2 linked regions of the Nothobranchius furzeri genome follow. The main gene of each other region encodes a partner of the protein of the gene in region 2 in a complex. Links are inferred from orthologs where the notes say so. Each region holds a gene or a part of one and is shown on either strand. Other genes may lie near its edges.

What was found.
Region 1: ppfia1 (region 2) and phldb2a share a complex: the UniProt entries of both Homo sapiens proteins name them as parts of the cortical microtubule stabilization complex. The link is inferred for Nothobranchius furzeri from reciprocal best matches to the Homo sapiens genes PPFIA1 and PHLDB2.

Annotation. Positions count from the first base shown.
Region 1 is NC_091750.1:45,867,475-45,878,174, forward strand, and holds part of phldb2a (pleckstrin homology-like domain family B member 2), read left to right. Parts: intron 1-2,332; exon of another isoform or gene 2,333-2,336; coding exon 2,337-2,439; intron 2,440-2,842; coding exon 2,843-3,789; intron 3,790-3,862; coding exon 3,863-4,195; intron 4,196-9,778; coding exon 9,779-9,913; intron 9,914-10,367; coding exon 10,368-10,502; intron 10,503-10,700. UniProt on the Homo sapiens protein: Seems to be involved in the assembly of the postsynaptic apparatus. May play a role in acetyl-choline receptor (AChR) aggregation in the postsynaptic membrane.
Region 2 is NC_091749.1:65,285,585-65,296,292, forward strand, and holds the start of ppfia1 (liprin-alpha-1), read right to left. Parts: upstream 6,852-10,708; 5' UTR 6,711-6,851; intron 4,577-6,710; coding exon 4,307-4,576; intron 1-4,306. UniProt on the Homo sapiens protein: May regulate the disassembly of focal adhesions. May localize receptor-like tyrosine phosphatases type 2A at specific sites on the plasma membrane, possibly regulating their interaction with the extracellular environment and their association with substrates.

The DNA of each region.
Region 1 (10,700 bases), on a different chromosome or scaffold from region 2:
CCTAAAAACATGAAATAATAAAATGTCTGTTGGGTTGACTGTCAGACTGTTTTCCTGCACCAGTTTTTGTGGTTTGACTTTTGTACGTTCAGATTTTTAAATAATTGCTTTTTCATGCTCGTAAAGTTTTCCACAAGTTGTCCTTTTCTTTCCACGGAAAATTAACTAACGCTTGTCTGAACGAGCGAAGCAAGCGAGGCCGTTAGGGTTGGGGCTTTCTTACACAATCTGGGAATACTTTTCCTCAGATGAAAGATGTCTTATCAGCCATCATTCCACAAACTGTTTACATCTCCTAGTGTGTTTCTGATGAGCCTGCAGAGCTGCAGCGTAGCTGATGCAGCAACACCTCCAGCCTTTTACTTGATGCTCGGGGGTGGGGGTGGGGTGGGGGGGTGGGGTGGGGGGGGGGTCCTTCTCCTCTCTCCCCTCCTTCTTTCTTGGAGGTCTGGAGAATGAACTCATGCTGACTGGATGCATGAGTGTGTAAGTGGATACCCTGCTTCCTGTTGGCTCTCTCTCTCTCTCTCTCTCTCTCTCTCTCTCTCTCTCTCTCTCTCTCTCTCTCTCTCTCTCTCTCTCTCTCTCTCTCTCTCTCTCTCTCTCTCTCTCTCTCTCTCTCTCTCTCTCTCTCTCTCTCTCTCTCCAGACAGCAGGACCAGAGCCTCTCAGATCAGCCTTTCTCTGGGGATTCAGAAAAAAGTTATGTCTGACTTTCAACACCATCCTGAACTAGACCAGGGATTTGTGGGTTGATTTATTCATTTTTGGTCCAAGAACCACACAGTTCTTCACTTAGAGCAAGGGTGTCAAATATGCGGCCCGCGGGCCGGATCCGGCCCACAAGCGGGTTAAATCCGGCCCGCGGGATGGTTGTGTAAACTTTATTTTCATACTTTACAATGTAGAGTGAAAATAAACTTATCGTTGTGAGCAAGTTTTCTCTGTAATGAGTATAAATAAAACAAAGCTGCGCTCAAGGCTCACACAAGAACTTGAATCACATCCTGAAGTTGGCTGTCACTCAGAATGTGACTCCTGATATTGATGTGCTGGTGAAAGCTAAACAATGTAAAGTAAAATGAGTCAAATATACTTTAAGTGCTGCATGAAACTGATCTTGCCATGTGATCTGTAAGCTCTTTGAATCACTAAGGAATGTTTTTTTAATTTTTTTTTTTTTTTTTCAAATTTTCAAGTACACTTCAGGTGTTGTACTTGTACTATTTTGGATACACTGTCCTCAGGCTCCAGCCTTGTTTTATATTGATTGTATTAAAACAAAGAAAACTATCTGAAGTTTTTTTTAATTTACCGGTCCGGCCCACTTGGGACTAGATTTCCCTCAATGTGGCCCCTGAGCTAAAATGAGTTTGACACCCTTGCCTTAGAGCCTTTGGCTGTGTAGAGTTAAAACATCATTAATGTGCAACGTGCTGCCTTTCAGACTTCACTGGGAACTGTAGCCAGACCCTAAAGCTCAGGATCTGTTTAAACACTTTGTCTCTGGGAATGGGAACATCTGGAATATCCACTGGGACTTCCTGACTGAGAAATAAACATTTGACTTTTATTAATGGAGCTATACAATATTTGTTCTTCACCTTTTATATCTGCTATGGTGCTTATATCTATGCAGAGAAACGATTAAGCATAGACTTCCACAACAAAGCAGACCCCCTAGTGCTTGGTGTTGTGTGTGACTGAGACCACATCGGTAAATATCTGTAAAAACAAACAATTATATCCATTTGAATGTTTTCTATTAGCCTTGACCACCATCTTGAATGGGGTGGGCTTTAGGTTATATTGCAGTCATCCATGTGTTTTGGGTCTTTGTCAGCGTTTGCTCCTATTTGCGAGACCAACGTTTATCTTTTTACCAGGTTAGCCTGAAGAAGGAACTGCCAGAGAGAGCTGGTGGGCCCCCTTGTGTTGGGCGAATGTCCGCCGGGCTTGTTTCCTGTTCGTTTGATCGTTTCTGATGCGATGCCTCAGTCCATGATGTAATCGTGTACTTTGTAGTTTTGTGATTTGACTTACTTGAGACTTCCCTGTTTAGTTTTCTGAAGCAGCAACACTTTAGGGGTGGGCGAGGCTGTAGACAGCATGATGAAGGAGCTTTTAAATGTTTTAATTTTTAATCAGTTAGCTCTGATGTAGCAACAGCTGTTGGTTAGAGTGACACTTTTTATTCAACTTTGATCTGAGCTCACCAGGAAATGCCCGCTCTCCCTATCGGAGCTCAAACACAGATACAACATGAATCTATGTCAGTGTGTCGCTGGTCGGCAGGCTGAGCGTTTCTTATTGATCTTGTCTCCTTTGTCAGGCAGGAATCCTCCACCCTTCGCTCTGCTCCCCTGAAGAAGAGGAGGTCACTAATGAACAGCATGCTTCCTCAGAGGAGCTCTGTCTCCGCTCTGGGCTTCGGCTCGGGTAAGACTCACGAGTTATATTTGGACATTAAGGGATATGTGTAATTACATGTGTTATAAATCTGGGGTCTTGCCACACTCGTTTTGACACTTTCACCACTCAGCTAGTTAATCAGTCATCCTCAGGATTTTTCTGTCAGCTGAGACGATGGTGTATTCTGCCTTGTCTTGGTTCACCAGCATTCTTCCATTTTTAGAAGAGACTTAACCGATGACTGAGCCTCTGTTTGTGTTGGCCTCAGACTTGTGTGAGCGTACATTCCCCACTGGTTTTCCCCTCTTACTCAGCGTAAAAGTGGTTGCATATCATTTAGGCCGGTTTCCCTTTATGTGGGTTAGAGGCCTTTGATTAAGTCAAAAGAGGAACAGAACTTCATGCTCTGTCAACTTTCTGTTTTCTGCAGACTGTGTGAAGATTGAGCACAGCAGCGGTAGGTCAGTGGGGGGGACACTGCTGAGGGGCTCTCGCTCTAAAGCGGAACTTCAAGAGCTGATGGAGACGCTGCAGCGCAGGAAGAGTGCACTGGAAGCCAGCCTGAGGGCAGCGGAGTGCAGCCGCAAGTACCTGGGCCAGTCCACCAGGCCGCTGTCGGTCCTCAGCAGCACAGAGAAGCCTCCGTCTGTCTCCAGAAACTTTTCTTACATCAGCAGCAGTAGTGTGCCTCCATCACCGCGTCAGGGAGAACGCCAGATTGGCTCTAATGGTTTGCTTCGTCACTCCTATTCTCGCCACCAGTCACAGGACAGTTTGCTGCTCTCTAATGCAGCAGATGGGAGCTCCCTGCTCTCCTCCTACGGAGAAACAGGGCCTCGTTCTCCAAGGGTCAAGAGCGGAGCAGCAAGTATGCCATCCAGCCCTCGAATGGGCCGTAGGCTCTACTCTCAGGGCAGAGCTGGAGGAGACTCCAGACAGAGGAAATATTCCACCGGCTCCCTCAACAATCTGGGGATGCACAGCCGCTCTTTGCCTCGACTTCACAACGCAGCAGAGCCCCCGGCTCTCTCGCTGCCATCCCGTCACTCAGTGGGTTCTCACAGAGGAGCGGTGTCGGTGGGTCAGAGACGCAGTCTTTCCTCCCTGGAGCAGCCTCCAGATGTCACAGTACCAGCCAGTATGCCCAGCACATCAAGGAGGTCCAGTTTAGCTTCTCTGAGCTCTCTGGGTGTGGAGATAGATGGGACGGGCCTAGACCTGGGCTTAGGGGAGAGAAGAATGTCCTTTGGGAAGGGTGGATTGAGTCCAGGACAGAGAGTGGGTAGCATCAGTTCTCTGAATGGCAAAGAGGAGCTGAGAGACTACCACCAGCATCAAAGAGATGAGAGACTCAGGGAGCAGAAAGTTCAGCGACTGGTGAGCAGCTCTCTGTTCATTCTCATATGGTTTCATAATTTTATAAAAAACATGGTGAATCTCCTTTGTGCAGGAATGCCAGCGTCTAGAGTCCATCCTGAACCTGTGCACTGAGTTTGGACAGGTGGTGAGAGAGCCAGCGGGCTCAGCTGTTACTGATCTGCAGAAGATCAATAAGGAGCTGGAAAAGCTGCAGGTGTCGGACGATGAATCTGTGTTCTCCGACTCCCCCAGCAGCACCGCTCCAGACTGCAGTTTTGTGGCCAAAGTCAGAGATTTACAGTTTTCTGAGGAGCAGCAGATCACCCAACATCAGCAGAGCAGCTACAGGCAGGCCAGGTCCCTCTCACCAGCTATCAGCCTGAACAGCAGCGCCCCCTCCCCCTCCACACACCACAGAGCCAAGGTATGCTTCTTCTGACCATAACCCATCCATCCATCCATCCATCCATCCATCCATCCATTCATTCACCCATTCATCCATCCATCCATCCATGCATTCATTCATCCATCCATTCATCCATCCATCCATCCATCCATCCATCCATCCATCCATCCATCCATCCATCCATCCATCCATCCATTCACCCATTCATCCATCCATCATCCATCCATCCATGCATTCATTCATCCATCCATTCATCCATCCATCCATGCATTCATTCATTCATTCATCCATCCATCCACCCATGCATTCATTCATCCATTCATCCATCCATCCATCCATCCACCCATGCTTTCATCCATTCATCCATCCATCCATCCATCCATCCGCCCATGCTTTCATCTATTCATCCATCCATCCACCCATGCATTCATCCATCCATCCGCTCATCCATCCATCCATGCATTCAACCATTCATCCATCCATCCATCCACCCATGTTTTCATCCATTCATCCATCCATCCATCCGCCCATGCTTTCATCTATTCATCCATCCATCCACCCATGCATTCATCCATCCATCCGCTCATCCATCCATCCATGCATTCAACCATTCATCCATCCACCCATCCATCCATTCACCCATTCATCCATCCATCCATCCATCCATCCATCCATCTTTCATTCATCCATCCATTCATCCATCCATCCATCCATGCATTCATTCATTCATCCATTCATCCATCCATCCACCCATGCATTCATTCATCCATTCATCCATTCATCCATCCATCCATCCACCCATGCTTTCATCCATTCATCCATCCATCCATCCGCCCATGCTTTCATCTATTCATCCATCCATCCATCCATCCATCCATTCACCCATTCATCCATCCATCCATCCATCCATGCATTCATTCATCCATCCATTCATCCATCCATCCATCCATCCATCCATCCATCCATCCATCCATGCATTCATTCATTCATCCATTCATCCATCCATCCACCCATTCATCCATTCATCCATTCATCCATCCATCCACCCATGCTTTCATCCATTCATCCATCCATCCATCCGCCCATGCTTTCATCTATTCATCCATCCATCCACCCATGCATTCATCCATCCATCCGCTCATCCATCCATCCATGCATTCAACCATTCATCCATCCACCCATCCATCCATCAACCCATGTATTCATCCATCCACCCATGTATTCATCAATTCATCCATCCATCCATCTGTAACGATTAAATTTACATATTATTTAATGAACCATAAAATATGAGATTCCATAATAAGAAATATGAAATCAATCTTATGGATCTTTGGATAATTTAAACCAGAAAATTGGAACTTTTTATTGCAGGGATTATGTAACCACTTTGTATTAACTCAGAGACAAAAGAAAGAGAGTCAAGTTTTAAAAGTTTAAAGATTTATTACTAAACAAACTAGACTAACTTTAAACACTAAACACTCTGTGTGATGAATGGATCTAGGGGTGAATGAGGCAAGATGGACGGTGTAGTGTGGAATGTTGTTCAGAACCAGCAAATCCGGAGAAACGATTAGTTCTGATGGGACTGAAGAGGATGTTTCGCGCCAAGCTTTGGTTTGGAGATTTATAACACACATTGAGATGCCATTCTGCCGGCCTACGTACCCTTAGTGGAAGTCCCCGTTAGATCAGGAATGTCGAGGTCCAGCTTGACCTTCTCTGGAACCAAAGCCGGTAGGAAATGCAGCGGTTGTCGGCCAGACCAGTCTTGAGATACTTCCAGGTCACAACAGGTTTATTGGCATCTAGCGAGACCCAAAAAGGGGGTCGTGATGGTTCAGCTTTTATTCTGAAAGGAACCGTTGCAGCAGGGGGAACATGCAACAGATTTATTCCAGCTTGTCGTTAGGTTCTTTCGGCTGAAGAGGAAAGTTATGGATTGGCCACTCCGACAACTTCTCTAGAATGCTTGAACTGAAGTTAAGATGATGTGGGCATAGTTTTATAATTTGGAGGTTTTGATTTACAGTCGAATCAAAAAAGGACAGATTTACAAAGCACCAATAAAACCACGCCATGCATCAGATCTGGAAGGCTCTGATTGGATCAGAAAAAGGAAATGTGTCACGTGATCTTAGCACTACATGTGATCAGTCTCTAGTGGAAATATTTAAAGTTATATTACTTATTATAACTACTGATCATAAACATTGTCACTTCACAGATTGGTTCACATTTTATTTTTGGACTAACACTTTGTTTGATTAGCTTATTAAAAATAGAGAAAGAGTTCTGATTTATTAAAAAGGAAGTGTTCGTCTTCTTCTCTTGAGCTGGAAAATAAGAAACAGCTTAGAAGCAGAGCATGAGACCTTGAGAAATATCTCATGCAGATTAGGTTTGTGTCAAAAACTTGTAGTTTTGCTTTGAGCAGAGCAAAACAGAGCAGGGCCTTTTAGGTCACAAATGGACAATTAATCACACTACACATCCATCCATCCATCCATCCATCCATCCATCAATCCATCCATCCATTTATAAAATGTCGTACCTTCTATTTACTGCAATGTACACACTTGTTACCGGAAGAGTCGTCTCTATCAGAAATGGTTTCATTATTCAAATGTAAACACTCTGACTCTGATACATTAAACGTTTCAACACCACGGCTACATGTTCTACAGCGGTAAGTAAGAGACGGAGATATGCACTAGCTAATCGTGATGATGGTACTTCAGACACTTCGGACATCATAAGTGAAGGTTTTGCCCACAGTGAGGTAACCAAGACTTTTCTCTGCACTTTGTCATTTCCTGTTACAGAATGCTAGTTTAGTTCAGAAAAGCGAAGGTCAAGGTCACGTTTATTTCTAAAGCACACTTATTATTGCTTTTGCAACCCAAAGTGCTGTACAACACACAAGATAATATAGCAAGAAAGGAAACTAAAAACCAAAAAATCATTCAAATTAGCAAGTTAGGATAAAAACAACATTACATCACACAATTATAAAATCAATAAAAATGAGAAAGAATGACAAGGACAAAAATTAAATCATCCTACATAAAAGCCAGGTTGAAGAAATGAGTTTTAAGCAAGGACTTAAATACATCCAGATTTTGAGAGGTCCTGATCTGCAGAAGAAGGCTGTTCCAGAGTGTAGGGCCGGCCACAGAAATTGCCCTATCTTGTCACACCCTGTCCTGTCTCCCCATTGTGTTCAGTCCTGTGTCCATGGTAATTGGTCCCACCTGCCTCTCGTCTCCCAATCACCCAAGGTCCCAGCTCCTCCTGTATTTAAACCCTGTTAGTCCATTTTGTCTGGTTGGCTCATTGTTTCATTGTCCTGCGTGTCCTCCATTAAATCAGTGTTTTAAATGTTTCTGTCTGCCTCCCGGCCTGTTTCTTCCCCTGCACTTGGATCCTCACCACCGTCTCACTCACCGGCACACTGTGACATATCTCCTCTCGCGTTTAGGCGAGTCTTTGGAACTGACAATAAAAACTGTGAGCCCGACCGCTAATTCCTGGCAGAAGTGTAGGTTGACAATAAATCATCTATATAAGGAGGGGCCAGACCATTAAGTGATTTATGAACAAAAAGCAACAATTTAAACTGAATCCTGTAATGCACTGGGAGCCAGTGAAGGGAAGCAAGCACTGGAGAGATATGGTCATGCTTCCTTGTACCTGTTAAAAGGCGGGCTGCCGCATTTTGAACCAGTTGCAAGCGGTTTAAGGAGGAATGCCCTAATCCATAATACAGGGAATTGCAGTAATCTAGTCGACAGGAGACAAATGGGCCATTCCCATCTGTACAGGGTCGGCCTGGGCCGGGTAGCCCCAGTCGGCCCCAGCCTGGCCCGGTTGATTCCACACATCCTGTCTTAAGCCCATGTGGGCTGATTCTACCCACCAATCAGAGGCTTGCTCTAATGGAAGGTGTGAATTTGCTGTCAGCAGTAGGTGTGTTGGCCCTGGTCGGCCTGAAGCAGACCCCCTCGAGAAGAGGGCTGGGAATGAGCCTTGGTTGGCCCGGAAAAATACCAGGCCACCCAGATATGTAAACAACCTACGCTACCCGGCCCGGGCCGACCCGGTACAGATGAGAATGGCCCAAAAGAGATGAATAACATGTTCAAAGACAGTGACCGGCAAATAGCACTTAACCTTTGCAAGCTGCCTCAAGTGATAAAAACCGGACTGGACCACTGCACTTATCTGTCTGTCCAATTTAAACGAACCATCCATAAAAAACCCAGGTTTTTCACATAAAGCTTTACAAAATCCAAAAGGGAACCAAGTGGGCTCACCGCACCCTTTAACAAGTCCAACTCACAGGAGGACCACTGGGATGACCTCCTTTTGTGGAATGCAGTTTAGTCGTGTTTGTTTACCTCCTATAATAGCAGTCATTTCTCCCCATTCCAAGGTAAACTATGTTTCCGATTCCCATTTTCAGAGACAGAAAACATTGAAGCCAAAACTCTGTTTACTTGAATAAAACGCAGAGTCGGATATAACAGCGTTTAATGTGTTGGTGTTGTCTGTAAAACTGTTTTAATGTAAGCCTTTTTGAGACCTTTTCAGTGTTTCCTAGGAAACAGCTTTGCTGATTCTATTATTTGACCTCATTTTAATTTCAACACCTTTTTTGGATTTATTACACTGGCAAGCCTCACCGCTCACGTTGGAAAAATAAATGAACCAGCTTAAATACCCCTTTTGCTCCCAGAGAGGCATCATTTTCCACTCCAGCTCTTCGTTTCCCCCCTGAATAAGCAACAAACTGATGTGTCTGGTTCTAATGAAGAGTTTTGTTTCAGAGCTGAGCCATTCATACTCCTGAAGGAGGAGGGGGACAGGAAATGGCTTTATCCCACTGTGAATTAGTGTGCATGCATGTGTGTGCATGTGAGTGCACAGCCGGAGGAACGCAAGTGTATATGCATTACAAAGACATTCGCTTTTCCAGATGGTTTGAACTTTGTGCTGATGTGAAAAGGATGGAAACGTACAAAACAGAATACAGCTAGAGCAGGGAACCACTTTATATTTAAAACAATCAGCTTTTATTCACTTTCAGTTTAAAGTAATTGAAAATGAACTTGAATAACTCCAAATAATCCCACATCTCCTCAAATGACTGTGTGAAGGACGAAAAGGTTTTAACATCTGAGAAATCCTGCAGACTCCAACCAGAACAATCCTCTTGGAGCTTTGGGTAAACATGAGTTTAGAAGTGGTGTCATCCACAGATGAGGGAGAAGGGATGTGCATGAGATGTTGCCAGATGGTGCGATCTGTGGGAGTGTTTTGGCGTGACTGGCATTACAGAGCATTGATAGATTTCCATTACATGAAGGGGAAAAGAATCCCATACTTGTTGACGGCGATCCAGAGTTAAAACTGCAGCTGCTGTTGTCTAACTTAATAAAAATGGATATTATTGACGAGGAACTGATTCGCACTAAAACACCAAGAAAACGCTTTTTGTCTTGTCTAAACTTTTTTATTGTAATAAATATTTTTGAGTGTCGACCTGCACAGCCTCCAGATCCAGACCTTTTATTTGCATTTCGGGTGTCATTTCAGGCCCTGGAGAGCGTGCAGCTGAAGCAAGAAGTGACTCACATTGAGGAAGAAAGAATTCAGGTTCTGAACAACATCGAGGAGCTGGAGCAAAAGATCAAAGACCTGGACAACCAGATGGAGGAGTCTCTTCGTGAGGTGGGCATCACGGTGCAGAACGTAGACACAGCTGATGTCTGCAGACACTTTGACCCTGTGGATGTCTCTTCTGCCTGTGTGTGTGCTGTTGCCACGCATTCTTATGGTTAGCTCTTCCTTTAACGAGCCACAAAGCCCCCTTTAAAACGAACGAGAAGAGTCAGATGGCACCAGTAAATAAAGAATCCTCACATTTGAAATTCCAGTTTGAGGTCACAACACAACAACTGTGGTTTACTGTTGCAGAGCCTCGGCCAAAGTCCAGAATCCAACAGGACAGAACGCCTTTGGAAGGAAATAAGACAGAAAACAACGTTTACAGCAGTTTCAATTAAATTTCACGGTGTAAAATGTCCCGAACTCATGTGATCTGACTTAGCTGTTACCTTCATTTAAACAACACATATGTGGATCCAAATGCAGGGTTTCAGTGTTGTGCTGCTGCTTCCTGCAGATGGAGGTGGAGTGTGCCCTGCTGGACGGAGAACAGGAGTCTGAGGTGACCCAGCTGCAGAAGGAAAACGAGTTACTGGAGGAACTCAAGGGGAAAATGCACAATGTTGAGAAAACAAGTCATCCAGAGTCTCAGGTAAATCTGTGGAACATGTGATCAAGCTTGAATCAATCTTTTTACCAACAAAAGGACATTTTAACCCTCTGCAATCCTTTTGTTTACATCCTGATGCGCTAACAGCTGGTCCGAGCACAGGATGTGCCACAATGTGCTGCTGTCATCTGCAAACGTTCACAGTGATTCATACAAATGTTTTATACATCTTTACGCTTC
Region 2 (10,708 bases):
TCAGTGCGGAGACAAGCAACGTCCTTGCGGGCCTGCTGGAGAGCTCCGCGAGGACGGACGGAGTCGAGCTCTCTTTTCTAAACATCCGTCAGTCGAGAGGGAGAACGCAAGCTTGTGATTGGTCAGGGCACCGCTGTCGTCTACAGCGCCCTCAAAAACACAAAGAGAGCCGAGGATAACTAGCGGCAGACACGGAGCAGCTTGAAGAATACCTCATGAAAAAAACTCTAAAAACATGAACGTTTAATTCCCCCGTGACTGGAGGAGTGAAAAGATGCGCAGCAAGCGTTTTATTTGTGGACGGAAATGACAGGAAACGTGGGTTTAGAGGTGGGGAGCGCATGAAGAGGTGGAGGAGGATGAGAGACAAATTTGTTTGTGTTAAAAAGTCTTATATACAAAAAAAAACAATATAAACACACTATCTTGGACCGATACATGACAGGATACCACAGAACAGCGCTGCGCCCTCTGTTGTCCTGGTGGGGAATTGCTTTGCAACACTCTCCAGGAGACGGAGAAGTATGAGAGCAAAACGCTTCCGTCAATCCGTGCGTGTCTGTCCCTTGCGGAGCAGACGGAGAAGCATGAATCAAGCTTAACAAGGCGTTCATTCCTACTAGAGTCTAGTAGGAATGAACGCCTTGTAAGTCGTTCTCGTGAAGCCTAATTTATACGTCTCAGGCAGCTCTGCGAAAGAGAGACGCAAATGCACTGACAGACGTTTGCTCTCGGACCTCTCCGTCAGCTCGGGACTGTTGCTAAACAATTCCCCGCCAGGACAACAGAGGGCGTGGCGGCATTCTGAATTATCCTGCCACTGTTAAAGTCACCTATCCGGTCTAGGAAAGTGTATCTAATATTGTGTTTACATTACTACATTACATTTCAGAGACTTTTGAACACAAATTTGTCCCCATCCACCTCTTCATGCCATCGGCACCTCTAAACTCAAGTTTCTCTTCTTTTCCGTCCACAAATAAAATGCTTGCTGCATGTCTTTGTACTCCTTCAGTAACGGGTGAATAAACGTTCATATTTTCAGACTTTTTCTGCAATGTGTTCTTTAATCTGTTCTTTTTAGTTTTCGAGGGGGCAAAGGTGGTGCTGTCGACTAATTTACTGGAAGTAGCGTCCTGACCAGTCACAAGCTTGCGGTCTCCCTCATCTTGGATGGATTGTTACAAATTTCGGCATGTTTTCGTCACCCTCTGTGAGCCTGTCGGGGAGCTCTTATGCCAATGCATAATGGCGTTGCGTGTTCGCACCGACGCGGAAGTATAAATCAGGTTTAAGTCATACTGCTGCATACTGCTGCTCAGATCTAAAAGTTTCCCATATCACAGCTGAGCTTCAGGCCCTGTCCACACGTAGCCGGGGATCTGCCAAAACGTAGATATTTTTCTACGTTTTGGCCTGTCATCCACACAAAAACAGAGTTTTTTCACACGAAAACGGATCTTTTTAAAAACTCCGGCCAAAGTGAAGATCTGCGTTTTCTCCGTTTTGGGTGTCTGCGTGTGGACAGACAAAACCGGAGTTTTAAGGTCCGCAACGTCACTTTCCGCGACAAAAAATGCTGACATCACGTGTGTACCTGTGTTTACACTAGCCGACAGCATGGATGCCCTCAGAGCTGCGCTCGCTTTATCAATTGTCCAAGCGCTTTTTGCTTGTTTGTTTTTGCAAGCGGAATTACTGCTCCTTGCGGAAGACCACAGACGATGCTGACTGGATACAATTCGGGGGAAGTACTGCCGCCTACAGGTCTGGCATGTCCTTAACAACGTATTTATCCGGGTACGTGTGGACAGAGTTTTTTTTTAAACGAGGTGGTGTGGATGCAAGTTTTTGGAGGGGCGGATATTCGTTTAAAAAAAAAACGGCTACGTGTGGACTAGGCCTCAGACAGCAGGTTTTTAGTGAATGTGACTACCACTGACTTGAAACGTGGATGTTTTACCTACACAAGTAGCGCAAGCCTGGAGGAGCTTCTACTGTGTGGTGGTGTTGCTAATGCTAATAGTTAGCTTAAACTTAGAGACGCCCGCTGCTGATTCCTGGACGTTAAAATAACAACAGCCTTCCCTGTCATTAGTCAAGATGGGTGAGTCCACGAACGCTAAATCACAGTGTGACGTAGATCTGCGACGATGTTCGAATCCTAGGGTTTCACTGCCTATTTTCTATCAGAAGCTAATGCAGGAGATAGGTGTAGGAGACTATTTATAGGTTCAGCTTGTGTGAAAAACTCAGAGTGATTGATTATAATCAGAAAAAGAATGCTTTTTCAGTCAACTACACCTTTAATAAAAAACAGCTAATGTTTGGATGTAATGTTTTTCTTTAATTTGTCAAGAAATAATCCCTCTGGATGTAAATTAGGTTGAGAATATTACTCAGGTCTACTGTACTACTATCATTTTTGTTTACATAACAAAAATCTGAGGACTAATTATAGTGAAAGAGTTTTAAGAGCCGAAGTTTGGGCTGAATTTTTCTGGTGAGAATTCAGCAGAACTCCCTTTAGGACGATGCTACAATCGGCTCTGCAGCCTCTCCAACTCTGCTGTTGCTCTCAGCCTGCACGGCTGTCACTTCCCTCCCTTTTTTAGTAAAATCTGACACACACGGGCTCTCTGTAGTGGAAACATGTTCTAGTAAAGCTGCAGCAATATTTACTAGATGACCAGACTTGTGTGCTGTTCTCCCATCCATAATTTAAAGGTGGAAACCTGAACCTGTCTTTATGAATATAAAACCCTGCTGAGTAAAACCAGCAGTAATTAATATAACAAAGACCTGCAAACCAAAGGACAAAGGAGAGGCTGCTGCTTCATCAGGGCTGAAAATAGCAGAAACTGAAAAACGACCATCACGAACTCATTAGCGTAAAGGACTGAATATATGGTGATCGTATGCAAAGTCGAGGTAAAAAAAGCACTGTATGTTCTACAGTTACCTATTAATATATAATGGATGCTGCTTCACTGCATGGAGGGGGTTTCCACCATCATCTCATTTTGTAAGTTCTCTTTGTTCACATGTGTCTCTATTGGGCCATTCCCATCTGTACCGGGTCGGCCCGGACCAGGTAGCGTAGGTTGTTTACATATCTGGGTGGCCTGGTAATTTTCCAGGCCAACCAAGGCTCATTCTCAGCCCTCTTCTCGAGGGGGTCTGCTTCAGGCCGACCAGGGCCAACACACCCACTGCTGACAGCAAATTCACACCTTCCATTAGAGCAAGCCTCTGATCGGTGGGTAGAATCAGCCCACATGGGCTTAAGACAAGGATGTGTGGAATCAACCGGGCCAGGCTGGGGCCGACTGGGGCTACCCGGCCCGGGCCGACCCGGTACAGGTGGGAATGGCCCATAAATTGCTACCTTTCCAGGTGTTCACCTGTCCTCAAAGTAGTAGCTACATCCAGTCAGTCTTCAGGTTGTCAGACAGGTCTGCAGACTAATCTGGTCATGCTGATGTAAAACCAGATGTTCTTCTCACAAGTGCTGCTGTGGGCCCCGCCCCCCAGCCGAAGCACTCACAAGCAGCCCAGTCCTCACATCGCTACCAGAGCAGGAGGCGTTTATCTCTCTGAGCTCAGATTGCAAACAATTTGCGTGTGTGTGTGCGTGCGTGCGTGCGTGCGTGTGTGAAACCCAAACATTGGAAAGCTAAAAAAAAAAAAAAAAAAAAAAAAAGAACAATAAAAAACAAAGAAGGGCAAAGTGACTCAGTGACCTTTGTCAGTCCCGTTCCAGGTAACCACGCCTAAAGGTGTGGCTGGTGAAAAATAAGCAAAAATGTATTTAAAACAGATGTTTATTCTAATAAAGATGGGTGATCTGCGGGACAGGGATATATTTTGATCCAAGTTTCAAATGAGTTTAAGGAGGAATGTCCAGATGAATATGGGAAACACTTGAAGGTAAGTGTTGCTATGGCTGCAGCGCTGCCTCAGTTATAGTTGTTTATAATGTTCAAATGAAAATCCACATCTATGTTTCACCGGCTTCCAGCTGCTTTAAGAGTTCAAACCAGTTTCCAGGATTTCCCTGATTTAAAAACAATTACCATAATTATTTATGTTTATGCTCTTAAACAACCAGGTTGCACGAATGGGTTAGCAGCAACTAAGAGCAGTGGTGATTACACAAAGTGAAATAATGAACCGATTTGAAAATTCTTATGTTTCATGACCCAAACCCAACACCAATAAGGTTTGACAAGAGAAAACAGGAGTTTAACCTTTAAATGAATGACTATTAATGATGCAGGTATGCTATTTCTGCATAAGGACTGACCTGAGGTAAGGCAGTGTTCAGCTGCCGCTGCAGCGAGTCTCTTTCATGGCTAACTTCATGCAGTTTGCTCTGGGTCAGGCCCAGATTCTCCTGAGTCTCTCTCAGCGTGTCCAGAAGGCGATCCCGCTCCTCTAACATGGAAACCATCAACGACTCAAAGTGCCCTTCAGAGTCTGACTGCAGAGGAGAGCCGGAGCCTCGGCGCCCAGTACCGTTCCCCCCACCAGGCCCTTCGGCCTCGCTGATTGTGGGCATCACCTCGCACATCATCTGCAGCCAGAGGTAGAGAGAAATGACAGAATTAAAGTTTGAAGATGAAAATCTGGAAGTCAAGTCAGGTGATTGGCTGCTTCTTTGGTTTTTGTATCTTTGAACAACTTAAGTGTCAGATGTTCATTTAAAAACGTGACCCTGTGGGTTTGAGGGGCCTTCCGTCAGAGGTCGCGGCTCCAAAGCCGTTGCTGCAGTTCAGAGACAGGTTTTCTCCATCTGTGAGGTTTGCCCTAATATATTAGATTAGATTATGAAAGTAAATTATGGCTGGAAAAAAATGGGAAAAGATTTTAAAAAAATAGTCATTGACTGTAAATTAGCTCACGTCCAAACAGCCGGTACAGGTCAGAGGACAAACTGCTCAGGCTGATAAAAGTTCTGGTTTAAAACCAACTGTTTTTACAAACCTGTCTGAACACATCCGAGATAAAGCATCACACAAGTTCAAAGGTCCAAATCTTTTAATCAGCAAACTTTAAAGACTGAGCAGAAAGGGTCTCAGCAGGTTGTTTCCTAAGCAGGTGGCTAAAGAAAATATCCAGTAGGCTGTTGGGATGGAGGGAAGCTTATGAGCCAACTTTAGGTTAACCCAAACAGGTGACCAATCAGAAACCTGGAGGTTTTGTGATTATTTCTACGCTGCAGCTACCAACCTCTACCAGCCTGAACACCAAGGGGCTTACAGTCTGTAGACCAAAGCCAGACACACTGCCCAGGAATCATGTGAGCTGGATTTAACACACCTACACGGAACAACAACCTAGGAATGGGGACAAGTCCTGTAGGAACTCTTGGAGAGCTAATATTTCCAGCAGTTGACTCTTCCAGCCGCCGAAAGGCTTCTTCATCTAGGATGCATCCAGCTGGGTGAACCCAGAGCTCAGCAGCACTCTGTTTGTTACATGCTAATTAACAAGACAAAACTCAATCTGCCATTCCTAATTAGCTCTTATCAGAAACAGCTAGTTTCATGTGATAAACACGGTTTCTGAGTTAAACTTAACCTAATTTACTGGAAGCAAAAATGCAGAACCAGTGTTGTCATATTGAGGTCAAGCCACTCAGAATCAGCTGTATGGGGGAGGGTCGTTCAGCATCAATGAGAGGTAGTGACAGATGGTGAGCAATTCAGGAGAGACACAAAAAAACTAGGGATAACAAATCGAAACCTGGATCAAAGACTCGGAGGAACAATTATCCTTAAATCCCTTTAACCAGTTATCAGTGTTCTTCATCCAGACCCGTAGGCCCAAACACCTCCGACTCTGACTCACAATCCCAAACACGGCTTCAAGGCTAAATAAACAGAAATGGTTTGCCTCGTATTTGTTTAGGCTTTTACATCAGCGATAGTAAACAGAAGTTATTCTTTAGTTTGAGTTCTGAAGATCATCTCGACCCCCGGGTGTAATACCTAGAACCTGTAGTAGCATCCCGACCCAAACTTTTGGAATCACTGACCTAGCCAACTGTTGACATCTAAGGTAAAGTTGAAAACTCTTAATTCAGGCCTCTTCCCTAGATTTCCCTCCCAGCAGTCAAACTCAAGTGCAGCCATTTTCCAAATCAACCTTTCTCAAACTGGCTGCTTTTTAACTTAATCCCAGTCCTCGTGGTGTACCATTTTAAGAACTTTTTGTTTATTTGAAACACAGGAAATTATATTCTAACAAGGTGATTACGGAAGAGCTCTCAGTCTGTGGAAAAATGGGAAAGTGTGCGATGAATGAAGTAGTTTCAGGTCTCTCATGGATCCTCCAGGTGGACATCTACCATAGGTCAGGATTTAGGGATAACAAAGTAAATGAATCAACACAACTCTGCTTCATCATTTGAGTTAAGAAGTATTTCATTAACTGCATAATTTATAGACTAAAGTGGTTTAATAAACTATGTGATGCCATTTCTTTGAGAATAGTCAGGAAGAAGTAAACAAACATGTTAAAGACCAACTTTAAAGGCCTGGAGAGGGGGGTGGGATTCTGAACAGTACTGGAGTTATTCATCATTACATCAAGATAAACCAAACTTGGATCATTCTGACCCAAACAAAGATGTAAAGTTCTGTCGAATTTACTAAAATAAAGTGACTGACAGCACAAAGTAACATAAACCATACTGTTGGACTCACCTTTGCAGTTTAGCGTTAATCCAAACTCTTTAAAATCCACGTTTTGTAAATGAAGTTAAACAAATCCAACAGCCTTCAGAGACTTCTGAAACATCCAGTCATTTAAAACATGTAAATCCCGTTCAGACACCAAGATTAAGGCTGAAATGGGGTCTTCTGGGAAGAAAAAACAGGATGATTTCCTTAAGGCCTCAAACCCACAAAGTGAGCAGGGGGTAGTATTCCCAAGTTTGGCCGGCTAACTTGGCGTTAGCATGCTAGCTGATAAGAGAGCTGGTGATTCGAAGATCGCATACCTGAATTTGGAAGTCAAGTGTTTATCTTTGCGTCACAAGACAAACGGCCACCGTAAAATATGAAGCAAAACTCGATAAAAGTAGCATTTCTTAACTGGCCCACGGGTGCTGATGGAGTCAGCTGACGTGGAAACTGTTGCAGCCTAGCTAGTTAATTTGAAACAGAAATCTTTGGCTTGAAGTCAGCTTAAAGTCGGCAGCTACTAGCCTGCTAGGTAGCTAACGCTCGCCAATTTAATTTAGTAACTTTTGAGCTAAATCTCATATAAAAGTACATAACATTATAGAATGTGCGACACAAAACGCACTATTTGATTTCTAAAACAATAAATCCCGAAGTAGATCTCCTGAGATCTAAGAAACCGATGTAGTGTTTGTCTCCCGGCTAGCGTTAGCTTCCCGGTGGAGTCTCGTCACCACATCCCGGCTGCGTTCCGTTCGACTCGGAAACTTCCAGCCAACACCGAGCTGTCTGCGACGTTCCTGGTCCGTTTGGGAAATCCAAACTTAAACATTCGTGGTTTATGTCCAAGTTTCAGAGGTTTCTTCGGTGTTTTCCACTTTAGCGGTCCGCGAGTCGTGTCCTTTGCCGTCGCCACTGCCTGCCAGCCTGGGCAGTCGGGACAGCCTGACGGTCTGCGGGAGGAGAGCGCTGCTTCCCGGCTGGCTGGAGGAAAAGGAACAGCAGCAGCAGCATTCCCAGTTCCTGTGGGGATCCGAGGCTCAGGTTAATAATCCTAACAAACATGCAAACTTTTTTTTTTTTTTGTAAATGTGGAGGATTTACACTTTGGTCCTAATGAACAAAGATGACAAAACTGTTTAGATAAACTAGAAGCGTTTATTATGTCGCTGCAAAAGTGAATTAATTTAAAAAAGTTAAAATAAGGCTTTGAAAAAAAAGATTTCTACAATCTAGGTATGGTTTATTTCAGCCCTAAACTCAACCCACTTCAAAACATTAAGTTTATATTAAATACGTTGATGTTAAAAACACACACAACATTTGTCTTACCAAAAGTAAAAATGTAATATTGGTAAAGTTTAAGAATTTTGCAGCTCAGCTTCTGTAATTGTGAAATTCTTCAAGACCAAGTTTATCGAGAAACCATTATTTACTTTTTTATATATGTATATAAATGATCGGTCTTTCTGAAACATGCAAGCTAAACATTAAAATATTCCATCCATCCATAGTCTGAACCCGCTTTGTCCATGTAGGGTCGCGGGGGGGCTGCTATCTCCAGCGGTCAATGGGCAATCAAGCGGGGTACACCCTGGACAGAGAGCCAGTCCATCGCAGGGCAACATGAAAATATTCTTCTGTCCCAATTTCCTGCTTTAGTCGCTGACAGAGAATAGACAGGCAAAGGCTCGGATCAGAAAAGACAGTCAGTTCTATGTCACATTGAAGATTACCTTTCAAGGATCACCCATCTTTAGGGATGGGTACCTTTGACATTTGAATCGATCCGGTACTAATTCCCGGTACCTACGAGTCGATACCGGTACTTAACGGTACCAATTTTCGATACTTTTGAGTGTTTATTATTTTAATTCTCTTTTATAATTAAATATATATTTTTCTCAATATATATATATATAACCATATTTGATAAATATCACGATAAATAACATACAAGTTTGTATTTTAACATCGTCCTTGTAGTTTTATAAGCTGATAATTAAACTGAAGCAAACATCTTTACTGTGAACTAAATTTACTGTGTATCTTCATTCCTTTTGCCGTCCTTTTTCATTTGATTTTTCCTACTGGGAAGTAAGAATTTCCGAGGAGAAAGCGAACGCACCATTAGCTGGTAACAACGGTGGCAATGGAAGCTAACATATCAAGCTAACGTTATCTTTAACAGTTTATTTAGCTGATGGAGCAGATTAAAACGATGATGCCTCAAACTTAGATCGTTGTCGCTGGTTTTACCTTCATCCATTCACCCGTCGCATTTAGTAAAGTAAAGCCAAACTTTAGAGCGCGTTCATGTTCTTCTAGTCGGAAATTCGGAGTTCCGAGGAGAAAGCGAACGCACCATTAGCGAAACGGAAGCTAACAAATCAAGGTAACGTTATCTTAAACATTTTATTTACCTACTGGAGCAGATTAAGATGAGGATGTCTCACTTAGATCGTTGTCTGTCGCTAGTTTCATCACCCAGTTACCCATCACATTTAGTGAAGTGGACCCAAGCTTTAGCGTGCGTTCTTTCTACCATGCTTGCTCTGTTTACAACGGGCTCGCAGGGACCGGCAACATAACGCTCTTGCGCATGCGCAACTGTCTTGGCAGTACCGAAACGAGGCACCGTTTGAAATGACGTGAATCGGTGTTCGGTCGGTACTATGGAATTCGGTCGGTACCTTAAAAAGTACCGAATTCGGTACTCATCCCTACCCATCTTGACTTGTGACTGGGAAGTTTGTTGTTCATTTAGCATCCAGGAGAGAGCAGAGCATGTCTCGGCTAATAGAAGCTAATCGTTAGCATTAGCAACTCCACAATATGGCAGAACTCCTTCCGGTTTGAGTTATTTGTGGAGATTAAACATAAATGTAGTCTGTAGTGGAGTTGAATTGCTGTTAACTAATCAGAGATTAGATGTCCAAATATCAGGAAATGACACTTCATTTCCTGCTGTCTTCTTCTCACCTCTGGTAAGCCTGATATAACTGAAGACGAAACAGAGATGGTGGCAGAAGAGTTAGATGCCTGAGTCTGTCGTACGCTGGCATCACCAGTCCCTCTGGCCACCACCAACAGGCAAGGTGGGTTAAGTGCAGAGGTGTGGACTCGAGTCACGTGACTTGGACTCAAGTCAGACTTGAGTCATTATTTTAATGACTTCTGACTTGACTTGATAAAATTATAAAGACTTACGACTTGACTCGGACTTGAACGCCAATGACTTGTGACTTGAATCGACTTGCATCTGTTGACCTGATGATGACTTGAGCATATTTGATATTTTAGCACAAAAGTGGCACGGCATGGACAAAAATCATAAATCATTCTTTGTTCTGGGTTTGATTTATTGCTAAATGCAGCAGCACTTTGCTTACAATCAACTTCAGCTGCACTTTCTACTTGTTTGAGGAAATAAATTAAGCTTTAAGAAGTTTTACTTTAAGAATTTATTTATTATCATTGTCATTAAATTGAAGTTTGACAGATAACTTATGACTTCACCTGGACTTCCACATTATTGACTTTGGACTTGACTCGAGACTTGACTGGAAAAACTTGTGACTTACTTGTGACTTGCAAAGCAGAGACTTGGTCACACCTCTGGTTAAGTATCTTGCCCAAGGGCACATCGGCAGCGTGCTCTGCCGGGAGCCGGGATCAATTCTACAATGTTTACTGGACAACCCACTCTACCCTCTGAACTTCTGCTGCCCAACATATCAATTCATTTGGTAAATGTATTTGATATAGCACCTTCTAGATTTCTGGAACCCCCCAAGGCACTTTACAACGCAATCATTAACACACACATTCACACCCTGGTGGTGATGAGCTACATTGTAGCCACAGCTGCCCTGGGGCTCACAGCTGTACACAGGCACCACCGGTCCTTCCGGGTTAAGTGTCTTGCCCAAGGACACAACGACAGCGACAGACTGAGCAGGCCTGCAACCTTCCGATTACGGGGCGAGCACTTAACTTCTGTGTCACCGTCGCCCCAT